Bombyx mori: one gene and its partners. The protein of the gene in region 3 purifies or fractionates together with the protein of the main gene of each other region. This does not show direct contact. Links are inferred from orthologs where the notes say so. Each region holds a gene or a part of one and is shown on either strand. Other genes may lie near its edges. The genes, in order: vacuolar protein sorting-associated protein 52 homolog, vacuolar protein sorting-associated protein 51 homolog, syndetin and EARP and GARP complex-interacting protein 1.

Region 1 (5,001 bases), on a different chromosome or scaffold from region 3:
ACTTTAATTAAACCTCTCCTCTTTACTCTTCTTCGATCCTTTCATAATGTAAATACAAATACAGTAAGGACATGGATATAGTAGCGACGTCGTTTCTTTTATTCCTATTTTTCCCCGGGTTTATATCTGTCAACTACTATGTCTATGCATGCAATACGTTTGAGTAACTGCGGCCTATCTAAGGTCAACCTACTTTAAGAATGGTAAACCTTGAACATCAGTTAGACAGTTAGGAAAATAAACTGCTACTAACTGAAACTACTACTACTAGAAATGTCAAATTAGGAAGTACGTCACGGTATTTTTTACTTGATGCCGAGATCCTGTCCGTTTGATAGTCGTAAATTGCAGTTAAACTTTCTTAAATATTAATATAAAACATAATTTATCAGTTAAATAGATCAACGAGAATATGTACTAAATATGTTCATATGTATGTGTACATAGGCATTCATTTATTCTATCTACAAGTCCTTTAATACAATTACAATATGCATAATTAATACAATGGCATTTCTTGACATTTCAATATAATTTTACTCTATTCTTAGTTGTGCTTTTGTTAAAGTTATACATTTTCTTTGTAAATATTTCTTGAGAATAATATCATTGATGCTTATGCATCCATTAAATTTGTGTGTTTATTTTTCATCCCTTGAATTTAATAAAAAACGTACTTTTCTAGAATATTTGAAGTCATCGTAGCTTAAAGGATAAGACTTCCGGTGCATTCGTGTTGAGCGATGCACCGATGGTCGAATCCCGCAGGCGGGTACCAATTTTTCTAATAAAATACGTACTTAACAAATGTTCACGATTGATTTCCATGGTGAAGGAAAAACATCGTGTAATAAAAATCAAACCCGCAAAATTATAATTTGCATAGTTATTGGTGGTAGGACCCCTTGTGAGTCCGCAATAGTAGGTTAGTACCACCACCCTGCCTATTTCTGCCGTGAAGCAGTAATGCGTTTCGAATTGATGGGTGGGACAGCCGTTGTAATTTTACTGAAACCTTAGAACTCATATCTCAAGGTGGATGGTGTCATTTACGGTGTAGATGTCTATGGGCTCCGGTAACCATTTATCACCAGGTGGGCTGTGAGCTTGTCCACCCATATAAATAATAAAAAAAAATCGAGTGTTTGTAGGTTTTGACAGTAAGGCCACAATCCTCACCCACACTTACTTAATTACTTTTTAAATTGACACATACCAAAACCATGTAACAAACTTTTAAAACTTAATTTCCCCACGCTACATAGAAAACCCACTACTGCCTTCAACACCCACAACCCACAACTCCAGGAGCCAACCAGTACTTGGAAGACTTCATACAGTTTCTTAGGGAAATAAAATCATATATTTTCTTGTGGGACGCCTATACATATTTTATATACATAATGAAGCAAAATGAGATGAAGTTAATTAATTTGAGACTGTAATCAATTCGGATGAAATTAAATGAGATGAGATGAGATAGAATAAAGTCTCAATAAAATGGTAGTTATTTAATATGAGATCAGAAACTGGAACAACCCGAGAAGCCACATTCAACACAAAACGAGGTTAATAAACTACCTTTATTACACGTTTAAATCTGAAGAAACCCTAAAATTAGGAAACAAAACCAACAAAACAAAAATTCATACAATTTCGCTCTTCGTGTTCGCGCCAAAGAGTCTGAGATTTTAATATTTTTTTTATTTGGCTGTATGGGCTTTGAACTCTTTGTCCATCCAGAAAGAAAAACGAAAAAAACGTCATAAGTAGTGTCACTGTTTCAGTGCTTTAAATTGTTTAAAACAACAAAAAAAATTAAATACAAAACCTAAAAATTCAAGTAAAATGTATGTGAATAGTTGAAAACGCACACAGTCAAGTATAAATGTTGATTTCCCGTCATTCCACTAGAGTTTAATCATGTCTGATAACAACAACATGAACTTAGACAAAAATCTTGAGGATTTCGAAATCCAAGAGGTTCTCCGTAATGGTACAGATTTGCGAGAATATGCTCTTCAAATCGACAAAGGAATCATCGAAGCTGAAAAAGCATCTGTTGCGGATTATTTGAGAGAAAGTGAGAATATTGGCTCCCTTCATAATCAAATCGAAGAATGTGACAATATTTTAGGGAAAATGGAGAGTATGCTACTGGTGTTTCAGGTAAATTTATCTCTATTTACCGCATAAAACAGATTTACAACACTATTATAGTTTTCAGCCCTTTGGTACCCACTGCTGGGCATAGGCCTCTCCTTTCACACAATAAAGATAGAAAAATACATCTCCTTGGAAAATAAAATAAATACAAAGCATGTTAGGGAATGCTAGGAAATAAAATATTTATAATAATGTGACTATAGAATACCTATTACCTTTATAGAAAAAAGTCTCAAATAAATGTTAATTTTTTAGTTTTTAGTGCTTGTTTAAAAGGCTTAGGAGTTCGACAGACAGAGAAACTATTATCAATAAGATCTAGTGAACTGAAATACCTCTGACAGTTAACTGAGAACTTTAATTTTAATTTCTAATTGAGTTGAGAGAGTTTGAGTTAATCTTGATACTATATCATACCTAAAGATTTCAGTACTGTGGAATTCCCTGGAATGTAAACATGAACTACAAACAGGTCCTACTTGCCAATAAACTGAAAATTTTGATGTTGAGAATAGCTCTATTGAAAAATGTTGTGCCTATTGTATTCTTTAATGATAACTTTTCTTGTAACAGAATGATTTAGGAAGCATCAGCAATGAAATTATAAGTTTACAAAAGCGTTCAGTGAATATGTCAGTACAGTTATCTAATAGACAAGTGCTTAAGGGACCTTTATCTGCATTCATAGAAGACATGGCAGTGTCGGAAACTGTTATATTGTAAGTGATTGCCTGGATTCATTTATCCACTTTTATGGATTTTAATTGTACTCTATTATATTTACTATTACATTCCAGTGGTATCAACAATGTTCCAGTTACCGACAAAGAATTCATGGTGCAGTTGGCAATTTTAAACCAAAAATTAAATTTTGTAAAGGAACAAGATTTCAAAGAAACTAAAGCTTGTCATGATGTCAAAGACGTTTTGGAAAAATTAAAGATAAAAGCAGTGTCAAAGATAAGAACATATATTTTAGAACAAATATATAAATTCAGAAAACCAATGGCAAATTATCAAATACCACAAAATGCCATGCTGAAATACAAATTTTTCTTTGAATTTGTATTGACCAATGAACGAAATGTGGCTCAAGAAATTTGCAATGAATATATTGATACATTGAGCAAAGTTTATTATTCATACTTCAAGTCATATGCATCAAGACTAGATAAATTGAAATATGAAGAAGCACCCAACAAAGATGACTTAATGGGAATTGAGGATGGATCTAAAGGAGGATTCTTCCAGAAATCTAATTTAAAAAATAAAAGTACAATATTCACTATAGGGAATAGAGGTGATGTTCTGGCCCAACAACTAGAAGCACCCATTATTGTACCACATGTTCAGCAAAAAACAAAGGTACAAAATACAATATTACAAATTTCATTTGGTTTCTCGTTTATAGAATCAAGTGATTAAAATCTTTTCATTCCTAAATAAAATATGAAATTAACAACTTTAAAATATTTATTGCTTGCTGTATGCATATCATTTTTTTAATGACACTATATTCATGTTTTGATCCACTTCTTGATAATAAATAAATTATTTTCAGTATTCATATGAAGCCTTATTTAGAAGTCTTCAATATGCCTTGGTAGACAATGGTTGCAGAGAATATCTGTTTACCACTGAATTCTTCCATGTCAAAGGAAACCATGCACAAGAGCTCTTTGATAGAATCCTCGGTAAAACATTGTCCGTGCTTGTAGTGAGTAAACCATTAAAATTATGTACATAAATATTTATTTCTGGAAATTGAATAGTCTGAATTGAATTGAATCATCTTAATTTTTTATTTTACAGAAAAATGTGGAAAACTATGTAGTTGAATGTTATGATTGTTTGGCACTATTTCTTTGTATCCAATTAATAAACAGATATAAGTTAATGTGCCATAAAAGAGCAGTTGCGGCTCTGGACAGGTGAGAATTCATATTAAGAAATGTATCGACACTGACAAACCTTCATTTAGAAGGGTAAGAGCTAATATGGCAAAGAGTAAATAAATATAGGGTTAATCAGCCCTGAGGCGACACTTGTATGTCATGTTCGACCCACCATAAACCCACTCAGTCCTCAAGTCTCATCTTGACTTTAGTGTTTGGTTGAAACTTACTTCTGCTTAACATAACAGTTCTATGTTTGAGTTTGTAGTTTTCCTTATCTTAAACCCAATGCTGATGAGGCCCGTCTCTCCGAATTACATAAGCCATAGAATACTATATACATTGTGAATACCAGACAAGAACTGGCTTTTGATATTGAATGCATATCAATATACTAGTTTTTGCCCGCGACTCCGTCCGCGTGGAATAGTTACTTTGGAATAACGCTAAATTTTACTCCCCACTTCATTTATGTAGAAAGTAACAATATTTTGGAATTGTAGAATGTTAAGAAGCTATTGAAACCCTTATTTTGAAACATTTTTTATTGGTGCTCCACTTGTATTGATCTTACCGTGATGTTATATAACCTTCCTTGATAAATGGGCTATCTAACACTGAAAGAATTTTTTTAATCCAACTGGTAGTTTCTGAGATTAGCGCGTTCAAACAAACAAACTCTTCAGCTTTATAATATTAGTATACAAGTAGATTGTGCCAGTGCTGTTCATTTTGAGGGCTGTAACCATGAGATGATGAAACTGAGAAATCACTCATCATAACTGAATGCATATATTTTTAATATCTATGCTGCCCATTGAAGAGTTCCTTATTCAGAAACCAACCCTCAGCGCAGCAACACCATGTAACGATAAAATCTAAAATACACACATAATAAATGCGTACAACAAAATCTCATATCTATGCTGTGTACCTTTGA
Region 2 (4,835 bases), on a different chromosome or scaffold from region 3:
TTCATTAGGAAATAGTGAATCTATTGCAATAGTAAATTTCACGGTCTAGTTGTATCCATCAATTAACATCAACATGATTTTAACTTCAAATCATTATATCTTCAATACGTCACCTGTTTATAGATTCAAGATTAAGGATGAAATATCTGTTGTTGCCAATAACTATCATTACCTACTTATCTTTTTTTTTCTTAATTAATACATCAACCTTGATCATTTACCACTACGATGAACTAATCTAAATGCGATGATCATCATAATTTTTTTAGTGAACTAGGACCAAAATATATAAATAATGTCTGTTTTGAATAGTATATTAAAATGTTTTTAATTTTAATGATGTTTATCTACGTGACTAACAAAAATGCAAAAAACAGAGTAGCAGTCTTGTGAGATTTATGTTTTAGAAGCATTTAACATGAAATTTTATAAATGTAGATGATATTATTTTTAATATGATGCAATTTTGATTAATGGGTTATAAATAAAACTACTAAAAGTATAAATAATTGTTTGTTTATTTAATACTAGCGACCCGCCCTCGCTTCGCTTCGGAAACATTAAAACACACATGAAACCAAAAAAAAAAAAAAAAAGTAGCCTATGTTCATCAGGGACAATGTCGGCTTCTAATGGAAAAAGAATTTTTCAAATCGGTCCAGTAGTTTCGGAGCCTATTCGAAAGAAACAAACAAACAAATCTTTCCTCTTTATAATATTAGTATAGATAGTATAGATTTAAGATTGGTATTTAAGTCCCTAGACTAATCTAAATTTGAATCATATGATAATTAAGCCAGTTTTATCAATACAAGCATCATGTTCTTCTCCTTCAACCTCTTTCACAAATAATATCTACAATACTAGGTTCCATTAGTTGTGGGTCAACGCATCTCAACTGTGCTGATGCTAAAGCATCTTCAAGCAAAGCATTTAGAAGCCTCTCATCATTGCCCATACATGAAAGCCTTTGCTGTAGAAAGTGAACATCAACTTGTAATTGCTGTAGGCCATGCCTTCCAAATGTGCGTAGGCGCACACATTCAACTAATGCTTTCAAAGCTACTTTTAGGGCACCATTTGATAGTGCAGCTCTGTCTGCCCCTGCAGGACTAAACACTTCAATTCTTTCAGAGAATATCCTATTAAGAGGTGAAAAAGAAGAAGGAGCACGTGACCAAATAGTACGCCGACTGGAGTCACTAGAAGGTTTAATACTAGTTGGAAACAGTTGAGATGCAGCACCATCAGCACTAGCTAAGGTCTCCACTACTCTTCTGCATACTGCTCTTGGCCCCCTTGGTTCTGGAGCTCGCAACCAATCTCTAGCTAATACAGATACTCTCAACATTTGGGCTGCAGTCTGGCCAATAAATACAACTTCTGAATCTAGTGCAGTCTGCGCTGCAGTAGATAAGTGGACCATGACACTACTAGTATCCTTGTTATCCACAGTGAGGCCAGGAGCAGCCTCTTCTAAGAGTTTGAGAAGATGGTTCTGTAATGTCGAGACACCAGTCTCTTGCATATCCAAACATAGCTTAGCTAGTATAAGTAGCAATTCAAAAGGAATGTTGTTATTTGAAGTCTGAAGGCAAGCCATCTTTTTTACCAGATCAGAAAGATTAGCCATAGTTTCATTTATGACTTTTGAGCAAGCATCAGCTACTGCTTTTGCACACCAAGGTTTTAATCCAAATGATAAATTATTTTGTAAGAATGCCATTAGATCTAAGAGTGAGGCTTGGATTTTTTGCATCAGATATACTTGAAGGGAGTTCAGTATATCTTTTAAGTCAATTGTTTCTGATCCTTTACTGGCCAAAGACTGCCTTACTTTCATAAGACTGTCTTTAAATTGAGTCTGTATGCTCTGGTACTGTACCATAGCCTTGTGATTTATACACTGAATGACAACCTCAGTGCCTTTACTGGACATCATATCACTTGATGATATTTCGGTCATAGCCTGGAGTTTTCTGAAGAATTTATCAAGGCCCCTTATTAACATTTCAGTTCCGTTGTTCTCAGGTCTTTTAATGACCTCTTCGAATAAATGAAAAATTTGAATCATTATTTTATCAGCAAATTCGGGTATGATAGCTTCCTGTTCGAACATTTCATTGTAACATGATATTATAATAGCTAAATCAGCCAACAATGTATTATTGCATTTTTCTACCCAGTCCAAAATGTCTGTATGTTCAGCTATAGAACTGAGCATCTGCAAGTGTTTGTCAAGACGACTCTCTGCACAACTAAGGAATATATCTTGTAAGGATGAATCACTTTCTTGGAGCTGCCTTAAAAGGGCTACACTTTCAGCAAGTTCAGTTGCAGATGTATTAGGACTGATAAGTCTTTCACGGAGTGTCTTCTTCAGTTCAAATATAATTTCTGAACACTCAGTCTGTATGCTTTGGAATGAAGGCTGATTGCCATATTTTTGGAGTACTCGCTGAGCATGTGAATAGTCTTGTACAGCATCACTGTATCTGCCTTCTGCTATTGCTTTGTTAAGTTGAGAAGGTAGAAGGAAAAGGAACTGAAGTTTATCTAACAGCTGTCTTGTACCACACAAACGTCGAACATTATTACCGCTGCCTTGGAGATTTTCAGATATTTGAGAGCTGAATGTAGTTATTTTATTGATATTCTCGCTAAGTTTATTCATTTCTTCTTGCATTATTTTAAAATCGGAACGCATTTTGCGTACAGTTTCGGTCGCCGAAATAAATTTATTATAATTTTCATAAACCAATGTCTGCATTTCTGATTGTAGAAATTGACTTTGAGTTACAATTTCCGCTTCTTTGTCCATTACTTGCTTTAGGGTAGCGCATTTTAGAAGACAATCTAAGTAGACGTCTGGGCTGAAACTACTGCTGTCGATGTCCAGAGGATTTTCTTTAACCGCTTTGGCTTCCTCCATATTATGTACTTTGTTCAATAGGTATAAAAGTGATTCGTTTAAAGCTAATCTCCTTAATAAAATATATTTGCGGTTTATTGGTTCGTCTGCAATTCTAATTTACCAAAGAGAATAACTATTTAGAAACACAACATTTCAGCTGCGAGGACTGACGTCGATAAGACCTTATGAGAATGAGAACAATTATGTTTATTTATACTATTTCCTACTTTACTAATACTCCGTCTTATAAATGCAGTTTTAGAATAAACATTAAAGCTTATATATTTTATTTCTGTATATACAATAATGAACATATGTATACATTGTATACTATACATACATATAGGTATGTACGTTTGATAATATTTCCCCATTTTTTTAAATAATTTTTTCTGGCTTGGAAACAAAGTCTTTTAAGCCAAATTAGCTTTTATTATTAAAATTTATGCAAGGTAATCTTTATCATACGTACTGCTATGTACTGCGTTTTTTGAATATTTTATGACTGGCCTGGTAACAAGACCTTTAAGCGAAGTACTCAGTACTTACTAGTCCACTGAGTTTCTCGCCGGATCTTCTCAATGGGTCGCGTTTCTGATTTGGTGGTAGATTTTGCAAAGCACTGCTCTTGCTAGGGCCAGTGTTAGCAACAGTTTGAACCGGTTTGAACCCTGTGAGCTCACCACGTCAAGGCGAAGCTGAAATAGCCTCTCAAAGCTATCAGCATTGGTAGGGAAAAGTACTTATATTCATTTTAATTATATTACTTATGAGCATACACGGGTAATGCACTAAATATAGAAAAGAACCACGGGTACTGTATTATTTCCTATGGTAGTTCAGAAGATCCATGGTGGAACATCCACGCAGCCTTCCTCTTCTTCTTATTACGTTATCTCATGTTATTGCCCTTATCTCACTTCTTTTAATTCTCTTTTAATTCTTTTAATATATCCCATCGCTCCTTTTGAGTTTTCTGACAACAGCCAGCCTTTCATAACAAAATATTTGGTTGTATAGTCAAATATATCTTTGCCTATAATAACGAATCAACCAAAAAAATATATTTTGAAGTTTGTGTGTTTAAATTTGAAAACTTTCTGTTGCGAATTGTTTTGTGATTTTTTTGCTAAAATACTTCTCATATACAATAGAAAACTTGGGAGCAAAAAACGTAAGGATGGCTCCTCGAGATGTCCCCAAACCTACGCCTAAAGTGCAACGAATTGTAGGGAAGACTAATCAGACTAAAGGACGCGCTTCGCCTGCGTCTGTTAAGAAAACGATGTCGTCTATCAAAAAGGCGACTGACAAGATACCTTTAAAATGTAAGATTCCATTTTTACACTCTCGAGGTGAATCTATTCAATATCTCTTCCTTAGGCTTGAGGTTTGAATTTCCAAAGATTTCTCAACGGATGTTCTTCAATTCCGAGAGCCGTAGGCCTTTAATTAAAATTTTTTTTTTTAAATCTCGTTTAAAGTTTTCATTTTATTATTTCCGACTTTTAGTGATCACAAACGGCTTATGTATTATTCGCCAACATTTGCATATTGCTCTAAGAACGATCTTATCAAGAGAATCAAACTTGAAATCCTTAAAATGCAAATTGTAGTTCCTATTTACATCCGAGGACGTCGTGTATTAAAACCAAATAACATAAGTAGCAACTGAAAAATTCAATAACTACTGTGATATCTTGGAAATTTGTGTCCTAAGGAAAGCACTAAATTTGTCAAAGTCATATGGAATGGAAATGAAATAAATAAAAACAAATAAATAATTTCTAAGGCAAGGCTGAAAAGGCACTTAGAATACCTGACTTAAAAACTTTAAAGTCAGGTATTTCTAAGTGCCTTTTTCCTTATATTTATTTTTGAATAGACTCTAATGAAGGCTTCATGCCTCCAAGTGGTCTCT
Region 3 (5,012 bases):
CTAAAACTCGTGAACTAGTCCCCCAATTGATATAAAACTTTGCACACATCTAAAGGGTGCCATAACCATTTAGACCATTTTTACTAGTGGTAGGACCTTTTGTGAGTCCGCGCGGGTAGGTACCACCACCCTACCTATTTCTGCCGTGAAGCAGTAATGCGTTTCGGTTTGAAGGGTTGGGCAGCAGTTGTAACTATACTTAGAACTTATATCTCAAGGTGGGTAGCGCATTTACGTTGTAGATGTCTATGGGCTCCAGTGACCACTTAACATCAGGTGGGCTGTGAGCTCGTCCACCCATCTAAGCAATAGAGGTCGGCACGCCTAGGGGGCGTGCGGGTTATGTAGGATTTGACGATCTGCAGATGAGAGCAGACCGCAGGCCCAAGGACGTTTTAGGGCCCTACCGCACTAAACGACTCCCCTGCACTTTTACATCCAACGTCCTATCTCCACCCGGGGTTCTGACCCCCTTACTCTGACCGGGTTCTGAGCTGGTTAGAGTAAGGGGGTTCCCGCGGTCAGCACTATAAACAAACTCGCAGTACCAGTGCCAGCCCGACTAAGCAGGCATAGCCGCTCGAGGTTACCAGCATAGGTACGAAAAAAAATCAACGAGTTGCTATGTTTTACTCATGCTACAAAAAGCGTGTTAAGCTGATCATTAAGCTTAAAACAGTACTATTATTTTCAACGACTTGGAATAAATTACAGATGCTTACGGCTAAAGGTACATTCAATAAAAATCTTAAAATTAGTAACTTTTTCATAGAAATCATTCAATTCCAACACCGGTCACTCACATGCGCACGAATACGCAAACCCACAACTGTAGGACGACATTTGCGAATGATTATGCAAAGTTTTCGCTGCATTCGTGGTTTTCCAAGCTGTGTCGGTTTTTTAACAGACATCAAAGCGCGCGAACCTCGAACCTTCGCGTAGTCTCCCACACATTCACTTGCCCAGTTGCGCCGACGATTGCGAAGGTAACGGACGTATACTATACGCCATTTTCATAGTTCGTGACGTCTACTGTGTAGCGTATCTTCATCAAAAGAAATCCCATAAAAACAGCATGGCTGTTAATGATGTCTGGTAAAGAATTAAAAACTATTTTTCTCTTCAATGTTCTGTTGACGAATTAAAAAGGAGGAGAAATTCGTGAGACATTCGTAAACAAGTGTAGGAGGAAGCGCAAACGGGTTCGCAAATTGAGAATGCGAACCCATTTGCACAGCCGCTAGGTTTGCGAATGAATGTTTGACGGCCCTTCACATGCGCGCAAACATTCGTACAATGTACGAATATTTGCGCGCATGTCAGTGGCCGGCACAAAGGTCTAATGATTAGTCACAAGTTTGGGAATAGGAAACAAAATAGCTGGAGGTGCTCAAGTGTAGTTTTGGGTTATTTTAGTAAGTCCACTGAACTGAGAGCTTTAGGTACTCTATGCGATATCTACCTATTTTCTGAGGTGATAACTCACCATTTAACTGCTTACGACATTCTATCTCATTTAACATCCACTCGATGTGGTTTTATCTCACCAGATATAATCTAAATGTTTGGTAGAATTGGCACTGCTCCTTTTGCTAATCATTTGACAAATAAAAAAAGCTAACGAAAACTCAAATCTCAATGTCAAATGTCAATTGAGAACGATTCAATGTCAAACAGTCAAGCGAAACTTTGTTTTTATAAAAAAAAAACAAATATATATTAATGAATTATATTTAAATAATGTAACGAATTAAGATTTAATCTCAGTGTTTTTCACAGAGAAGTTATAATTAGTTAAAATATTTAGTTTAAGCAGTAACATGCATAGTATGCGCTACGCACGTATGATCTTGAAGTGTTTCAATAAATAACCAAAATAAATAACTCAGGTCAGTATTTACTCAATGTTTTACTTCTATTTACGCAGCAACTAAGTTTTTTCCTGCTATGAGGTCACGCGGAAGTGTCTGAAACAGTTTTACAGTAGTCATTTCACTCTGATATTTTAGTAACTTCGAAACAAATCAAAGATATTCTGCGCCCCTATTTAAAGTTTATCTTGAAATTAGGGTATAAAAGTAAAAAAATAATAAAGCTTATATACTCAGAGTCAGTAAAGTTGTTCCTACATGCTGCCTATTGCCTTAGACTGTCCACTACCTCTTTGGAGGAACTGGCATGACGTCTACGACTGACGATAACTACAACACCACGTCGGCCAACATAGGCAATAAATAAAATGCAATACAAGCAACTATGTGCAAAGATTTAATACTCATAGTAACGTAATTCCCATAGGGATAACTACTTTTGTTTGAAATTACGAAGCAAATAGCTTATAGCGTTTTATATGTAAATGAAGATAAGTATGATACTGCAAAAATAAATTTTATGGAAACCCAAAATGCAGTTGTTCAGTCATCGCTAGACTAATGAGGCAATTAATAATAACCAATTTTTATATACGAGTTTTTGTTTGTAATTTAAATACGTACATAATGAGGGAGTGAAGGTATTTGGATAAATTACATTTTTGCAACTTTACAGGAGAGCTATATAAAGTTTGAAATTGTTAAAAAATATCATATCAAAAAAACCCCTTCAGCTATTTGAATCTTATACCTTTAAATGAGCAATTCTTGTATATATATATAATCTAAATCTTGGAAACGGCTCCAACGATTTTTATAAAATTTTATATACAAGGGATTTCAGGGGCGATAAATCGATCTAGCTACGATTTATTTTCAGGAAATGTTTATTTGTGTTTTCAATAATCAACTTTATGACTCTTCCCGACATCTATTGGCGAATAATAATAACTATATGATGACCGACCTTAGAACTGATATCTCAAGGTAGGTTGCAGCATTTACGTTGTAGATGTCTATTGGCTCCGGTAACCACTTAATATCAGATGGGCCGAGAGATCGACGACCTAAGCAATAAAAAAAAAAGAAGCAAAAAAGTAATTACCAATCGAAACGCATAACTGCTTCACTACAGAAATGGACGTGGTGGTTATACCACTTATACCACCAGTGTTTTAATTTCATTACTCACTAGATGATGACGGGTTTTTTTTTTATAACGCCATCTTGTTGTGTCTTTAAGGCGGTTAGTTGCCCTCAATTAAGAAAAATAGTATTATTATCTGCCAATAGATGTCGGGAAGAGTTGATTATTGAAAACACGAATAAAACAACATTTTCCGAAAATAAATCTTAGCTAGACCGATTTATCGCCCCCGAAATCCCCTGTATACTAAATTTTATGAATATTGTTGGAGCCGTTTCCGAGATTCAGATTATATATATATACAAGAATTTCTCGTTTAAAGGTATAAGATAATACTATTTTTCTTAATTGAGAGCAACTAACTGCTTTAAAGACACTGCAAAATGGCATTATAAAAAAAATTATATCATTATCATCTAGCGGTCATCATCTAGTGGAGTAAACTTAATTGAAGTTCAATTGAAAAAATCGAACTGTCGATGCTAATCTATATATTAATACGTGAAGCAAAAACTTTGTATCCCTTTTTAGGCAAATTGGGCGAACAGAGGAGTATGAAATTTTCCACACTTATAGAGAATTTAGAGAAGAAGTGCACAATGCTAATATATTTTTAAAATAATGCATAAAAGATACATTAAATCATTAAAGAAAACATTACACACACTACATACCATGTATTTGACGCACACGTGCATGCATACTATTTTTTGTCAAACTTTTGTTCTTGGCGTCTGTTGTCAAATTGAGAATAGATTAAATATTGTTTGTCTTTATTAATATTTTTTATAGTGTAGTCTTGGCGAAATTTTTGATTATAGATGTATAAAATACAATCATAATAGTGTACAAACTTACAATTTCAATTAATTATAGTCGAATTTCGATTACTGCGGGACCTCTAGTACCAAATAATTCGTACCTTTAATTATGAAGATAAATGTCGCTTAAACGAAATACCCTTTCACCCTTCAATGTAATGATGTTATAAATAGGTCTTGCAACATGCTGTCCAATGATGTTGTCGAAAACCGCCGTGGTCCTCCCGGAGTCAACTCGAGGTCGCTCAGCTCTGCTCATTCTGCTGCTGATCTTGAGGTTTGTATATCAATATGTCGCACAACAAATAGTATTCCGTTTTGATATTGTAGGGCTCACCTCATGCTAAGCTACAGTCCATAGACGACATATTCATTTTATGCCAAATTTTTTTCCCTACCTATGCTGATGGCCTTGAGAAGCTATATCCCTAGCGTGTAGGTGAGCTCTTGGGGCTCAAACCGGAGGCGTTGCTAACACTGACCCTAGTAAGGGCAGTGCTTCGCTGAATCTACCACCGGATCGGAAACGCGACCCATTGAGAAGATCCGGCGAGAAATTGAGTGGGCTTTTTATGCCATGATGTCAAAGACTCAATCACACCGGAGAAGTATGTGTATAACAAGTGAAACTTGAACATACATCGGCATACATTATTCATTGAGTACATTAGACATGAAACCTTTTGAAATATTCAATCTCATTCTCTCTGATACTAAATCCTAAACACATATATTGTTACGCCGGTAAGAGTAACGCCATCTATCGTCGAATAGTCGAACGGATATCGAAGGATCTAGTAGCACCTAGAACGCTCGAGAAGTACAACGCCATCTATTGTCAGATAGCGGAAACATAATTCTCGAAAAATGTGGAATATCGTCGATAATTCTAGGGCTGTGGTATCGGCTATAAAAGCGTTGCAAAGATGGCTCGCAGTCAGTCAGTAATCGGAACTATTGGTATCGGATAAGCGATCAGTCGATAATATTGTAACGCGTTGGGGTTCGGAATAAATAAAAATTCTATCGAAGTACAAATTAAAACTCTATTTAACACTTAAAACACTTACGAACACTTTACAACTCTTAGTTCACTTCTTCCGCTTCGCTTCAGGTGATCCGTTCGCTGTTTCGCTTCGAGTAGCTCTGATTACTGACTAACTGCGTGCC
Region 4 (4,331 bases), on a different chromosome or scaffold from region 3:
AACAATCACGCCACGTTAACTGGTCCTGTGCTAAATTCGTAAAGAACTTGTGTTACAGGTACCAGATAACGAAAATGAATGTAAGATTTTTATTAAACACATATATATCTATAATATACATCCATAACCCTGGAAAAGATATTTTATATTTATCATACAAATATCTTCCCTTGGCGGGATTCGAACCCGCGACCCCCTTGGGTAGTGACCATGTCACTTACCACTACACCAGACAGCCGTTAAAATTCTATTTCAGTAATTTATTAAAATTAAGTTTGTAGCATGACGATTTTTACTGGGGCCGCATCCAATGAATTTGCCACGGGCCCCTGATAGCTCCGCCACAGCAAGCTGCATTCAATAGGTGATGTCCACGAGCAACGGTAACGCGCCACCAAGTAATTTGTGAGGTCGTCTACTTATTTTATGTATTTAAAAAATGCCTTTGTTTTCTGATGGCAGACAACGACTTCGTTGTGCATTGCTGAGGTCCATGAGCGACGGTAACCATTTATAATCAGTTGGGCCGTATGCTAGTCTGCCTACAAAAGGCAATAAAAAAAAAGTGGACTTATTTTAGGGAAAACATGTTTCTGTGTTATTTACCGATTCGGATTGAAGTCTAGATCCCGAACTAATTGTCTATGCGCGTTGTCTATGCTCCAAGATGGTTTCGAGCAGTCAGTGCGCGTGTCGAAGCATTTTATGTGCATATCTTGCAGAACAGCAAACTGTTGATATGAAACCAAAGAAACCAATTATTCTTTTATCTTCTTAATATAACTAGTCAGGTCATAAGTATTGTCACACAGTAAAAACTTTTCTTTTAGATTGCTGCCCACAAAAAAGTTTATTGAATTCGAATTTCGAATTGTTCATGAAAATAAAAATGTATACTTTTAGAATTTTACTCATTTTTAAATATGGAGTGAACGTTTAAAGAAGACCGTGTTGCAGTTATTGCGTTGCATCGTTGCGGTTACGCGCCAATTCAAATTTTTAACATACTGAAAAATTTGAATATAACCAAGAGATTTGTTTATCGTACCATCAAACGATACAATGAAGACTCTAGTGTAGATGACAGGTCAAGAAGTGGTCGCCCTCGGTCTGTTAGGACTCCAGCAGTGATAAAAGCTGTGAAGGCGCGAATTCAAAGAAATCCCAAACGTAAGCATAAACTGTTGGCCCTTCAGATGGGGTTAAGCAGAACCACGGTGAAAAGGGTGTTAAATGAAGACTTAGGGCTTCGGGCATGTCGAAGAAAAACAGGACATCGTTTGAATGCTGGTCTAATGGACCTGAGACTGAAGAGATGCCGCGCTTTGTTGAAGCGGTACGCGGGAAAAAAATATCGGGAAATTCTTTTTTCGGATGAAAAAATTTTTACCGTAGAAGAGAGCTACAACAAACAAAATGATAAGGTGTACGCACACAGTAGTGAAGAAGCGAGCAACCGTATTCCGCGTGTCCAACGAGGTCATTTTCCATCCTCGCTCATGGTATGGTTGGGAGTTTCTTATTGGGGCTTAACAGAGGTACATTTTTGTGAGAAAGGTGTAAAAACGAATGCAGTTGTGTATCAAAATACAGTCCTGACGAACCTTGTGGAACCTGTTTCTCATACCATGTTCAATAACAGGCACTGGGTATTCCAACAAGATTCGGCGCCAGCTCATAGAGCGAAGAGCACACAAGACTGGCTGGCGGCGCGTGAAATCGACTTCATCCGGCACGAAGACTGGCCCTCCTCCAGTCCAGATTTGAATCCGTTAGATTACAAGATATGGCAACACTTGGAGGAAAAGGCGTGCTCAAAGCCTCATCCGAATTTGGAGTCACTCAAGACATCCTTGATTAAGGCAGCCGCCGATATTGACATGGACCTCGTTCGTGCTGCGATAGACGACTGGCCGCGCAGATTGAAGGCCTGTATTCAAAATCACGGAGGTCATTTTGAATAAACTTTAGTGTCATAAGAATCTATGTTTTGTTAAGTTCATTTTGGTATATGAATGGTTACATAATGAATAAACTTGTTTCAATTATTTTACATCAAACATGTGACAGAATTTATGACCTGACTAGGTATATAAACTACGTGTCACATTATTTGTCCGCGATGGACACCTAAACTACTGAACCGATTTTAACTTATTTTTTTTTAAATAAGGGGTTTGATCCAATTTAGGCCATAGGATGGTTTTTATTTCGATTAATGGTCATAATATTTATTAATTAACAATAAAATGATTTCTTATGTTGATTATTGTTATTAATTGTATGTTTCATAAGTCTAAAACAGATGGCGCCTTAAATCAGTTTTTACAGACAATTGTAATACTGTCTGACATTAATATCTCATAGATGGCGCTGTGTTAAAATACCAAAGTTTCACATAAGCTACAATTTAAAGGCATAAACACCACGTGTTGCTGAGACTAAAGTATAAGTGAAATTTATTTCGTAGTAAACGAAATACAGTGTAATCCAATTGGTCTTACTTTGTTAAGTTATGGTATTAGCATAGCCAGCCGCGTGTTTTTTTAGAAACAAAAACCTTAGCCATAGCAACGTGTGGTCGGGTCTTCTAGTTATATTATATTACTTTACTGTACATTTTAAGTGTTAACTATGTTTACCAAGGGAAAATCAATTCTAGGCATTTATAGATAGAGGTCATGTGTCCTGAGAATGTCTAGAGGTGGTGCCATTGCAAAGCATACAAGCCAGAGGAAGAATTGTCGAAATTAAAAGATCTGGAAAATAATATTATAATAATATGTCGTGTCATGTCTATGATTGTTCTTGATTATGGTCCCAGATAACATAGCCTGGACAGTTCCGAGCCTGTTTTTATGGCTATATTTTTTTTTAATGTCCTGGACGTTTGAGCCGAACGTCTATTTAACAATTATTGTTTAATAACAGTGAAATGGAATGTAATTTAATGAAATTGTTGTTAACTACGAGATAATATGAAACTATGGGAATTTACGGAGTGCAAATTCGTTTTTTGGTTTGATGATTTGTGCATCTTAGAAGAAACATTTAATATTAAAAAAAAAAACAATTTCCTTAACGTCATAATTGACGCCAAGAAGCCTGTGTATCACGACGCAGTAGCCCTAAAGATGAGTAAGCCATGATTTTAGAACGCACCTGAGTGTGACCTTGATGCGGGTTCCACTTGCCGGCGGTGAGCTTGAGCCTGGTCCGACCGTCAGATTTCATGCTGCACACCGCAGCTCCAGAGCTCACGTCGTGTACCCTCACGCTGGACTCGTATACGACACCCAAGCGCCCCGCGTCCGTAGGATGCCACTCAGCGCAACGGATCTCCTCTTCGGCCTTCTAGATTTTTTTTATGACACATTGTATGCGAGAGCACTGAGTTCTGGCCCATTCAGTCTGCAGATATCGTGGGGACAGAGAAACTAAAGGTCGTAGATAAAAAATAATATATCCTACTATAACCCTATGGTCAGAATGGTCAGGAAGTATAACGATTTGGCTAAATGTCACAGAGACTTTGATATTTTTTAACCTTGAGTCTAGCTCAAAGGATATGCCAGATGTATTTTTTTATTACCCTGGAAGGCAAACGAGCACACGGCCCACCTGATGGTGAGTGGTTGCCGTCGCCCATGGACTTCAGCAATGCCAGGGACAGAGCCAAGCCGCTGCCTACCGTACAGTGGCCAGTTGTCGATATTGAATGTGTGAGAATTAATCTTGATCATGTTATAGCCTGGAAAGGGATTAATGTTTGTGTTGGTTGTATTGTAGTTATCTAAATAATGGATACTTCTTGTTGTTTTTTTCTTTCACTGGAACCCGTAATTTTATTTGTAATTTTGTTGAAGTGAAAACTTCTTTAGAATCGTTGTGATTTCAAACCGGATGCAACGGAAAAAACGACAGGTAAGAGACACAAATACAAAAATGTGTAGGATGAAGCCAGCAAAGAATGAGACAGAAATATACATACTATTTAATACAGCGTCATCTGTGAGATTTTTTAATACTAACGTGTGTATGAAAGCTCTTGTAGTGAATTTTAATTTAGGATTATTATACGTGAAATTAAAATATCAATTCACAGAGGGCGCTATCTTACAATTATTTACTAATGACAAAATTTTACATATACTTAAGACGTTTAGGATAATTGTATTTTAATTTTGGAATTTTTCACTTCTACCACGTGTGAATTGCACACATGTTTTTTTTTTTGTTTTAAATAACTAATTTAGAGGCTCGCTCGTTATGTACATTAATATGGGTTTGCTGAGTGCATGTATGATTTAGATTGAAGTCCAGATTTAGTT

The links.
Region 1: the proteins of syndetin (region 3) and vacuolar protein sorting-associated protein 52 homolog purify together in Homo sapiens (affinity purification with mass spectrometry; 4 studies listed by BioGRID and IntAct, counting the BioPlex papers as one, with this or other methods). This does not show direct contact. The link is inferred for Bombyx mori from reciprocal best matches to the Homo sapiens genes VPS50 and VPS52.
Region 2: the proteins of syndetin (region 3) and vacuolar protein sorting-associated protein 51 homolog purify together in Homo sapiens (affinity purification with mass spectrometry; 7 studies listed by BioGRID and IntAct, counting the BioPlex papers as one, with this or other methods). This does not show direct contact. The link is inferred for Bombyx mori from reciprocal best matches to the Homo sapiens genes VPS50 and VPS51.
Region 4: the proteins of syndetin (region 3) and EARP and GARP complex-interacting protein 1 purify together in Homo sapiens (affinity purification with mass spectrometry; 4 studies listed by BioGRID and IntAct, counting the BioPlex papers as one, with this or other methods). This does not show direct contact. The link is inferred for Bombyx mori from reciprocal best matches to the Homo sapiens genes VPS50 and EIPR1.

The regions. Positions count from the first base shown.
Region 1 is NC_085110.1:11,268,759-11,273,759, forward strand, and holds the start of vacuolar protein sorting-associated protein 52 homolog, read left to right. Parts: upstream 1-1,746; 5' UTR 1,747-1,923; coding exon 1,924-2,169; intron 2,170-2,739; coding exon 2,740-2,885; intron 2,886-2,963; coding exon 2,964-3,531; intron 3,532-3,727; coding exon 3,728-3,883; intron 3,884-3,978; coding exon 3,979-4,097; intron 4,098-5,001. UniProt on the Homo sapiens protein: Acts as a component of the GARP complex that is involved in retrograde transport from early and late endosomes to the trans-Golgi network (TGN).
Region 2 is NC_085115.1:1,408,056-1,412,890, forward strand, and holds vacuolar protein sorting-associated protein 51 homolog, read right to left. Parts: upstream 3,303-4,835; 5' UTR 2,933-3,302; coding exon 833-2,932; 3' UTR 501-832; downstream 1-500. Other genes in the region: uncharacterized protein LOC101737848, read left to right, coding at 4,095-4,269. UniProt on the Homo sapiens protein: Acts as a component of the GARP complex that is involved in retrograde transport from early and late endosomes to the trans-Golgi network (TGN).
Region 3 is NC_085130.1:17,523,554-17,528,565, forward strand, and holds the start of syndetin, read left to right. Parts: upstream 1-1,643; 5' UTR 1,644-1,892; intron 1,893-4,016; 5' UTR 4,017-4,026; coding exon 4,027-4,119; intron 4,120-5,012.
Region 4 is NC_085126.1:8,656,872-8,661,202, forward strand, and holds part of EARP and GARP complex-interacting protein 1, read right to left. Parts: intron 3,355-4,331; coding exon 3,163-3,354; intron 732-3,162; coding exon 607-731; intron 1-606. UniProt on the Homo sapiens protein: Acts as a component of endosomal retrieval machinery that is involved in protein transport from early endosomes to either recycling endosomes or the trans-Golgi network.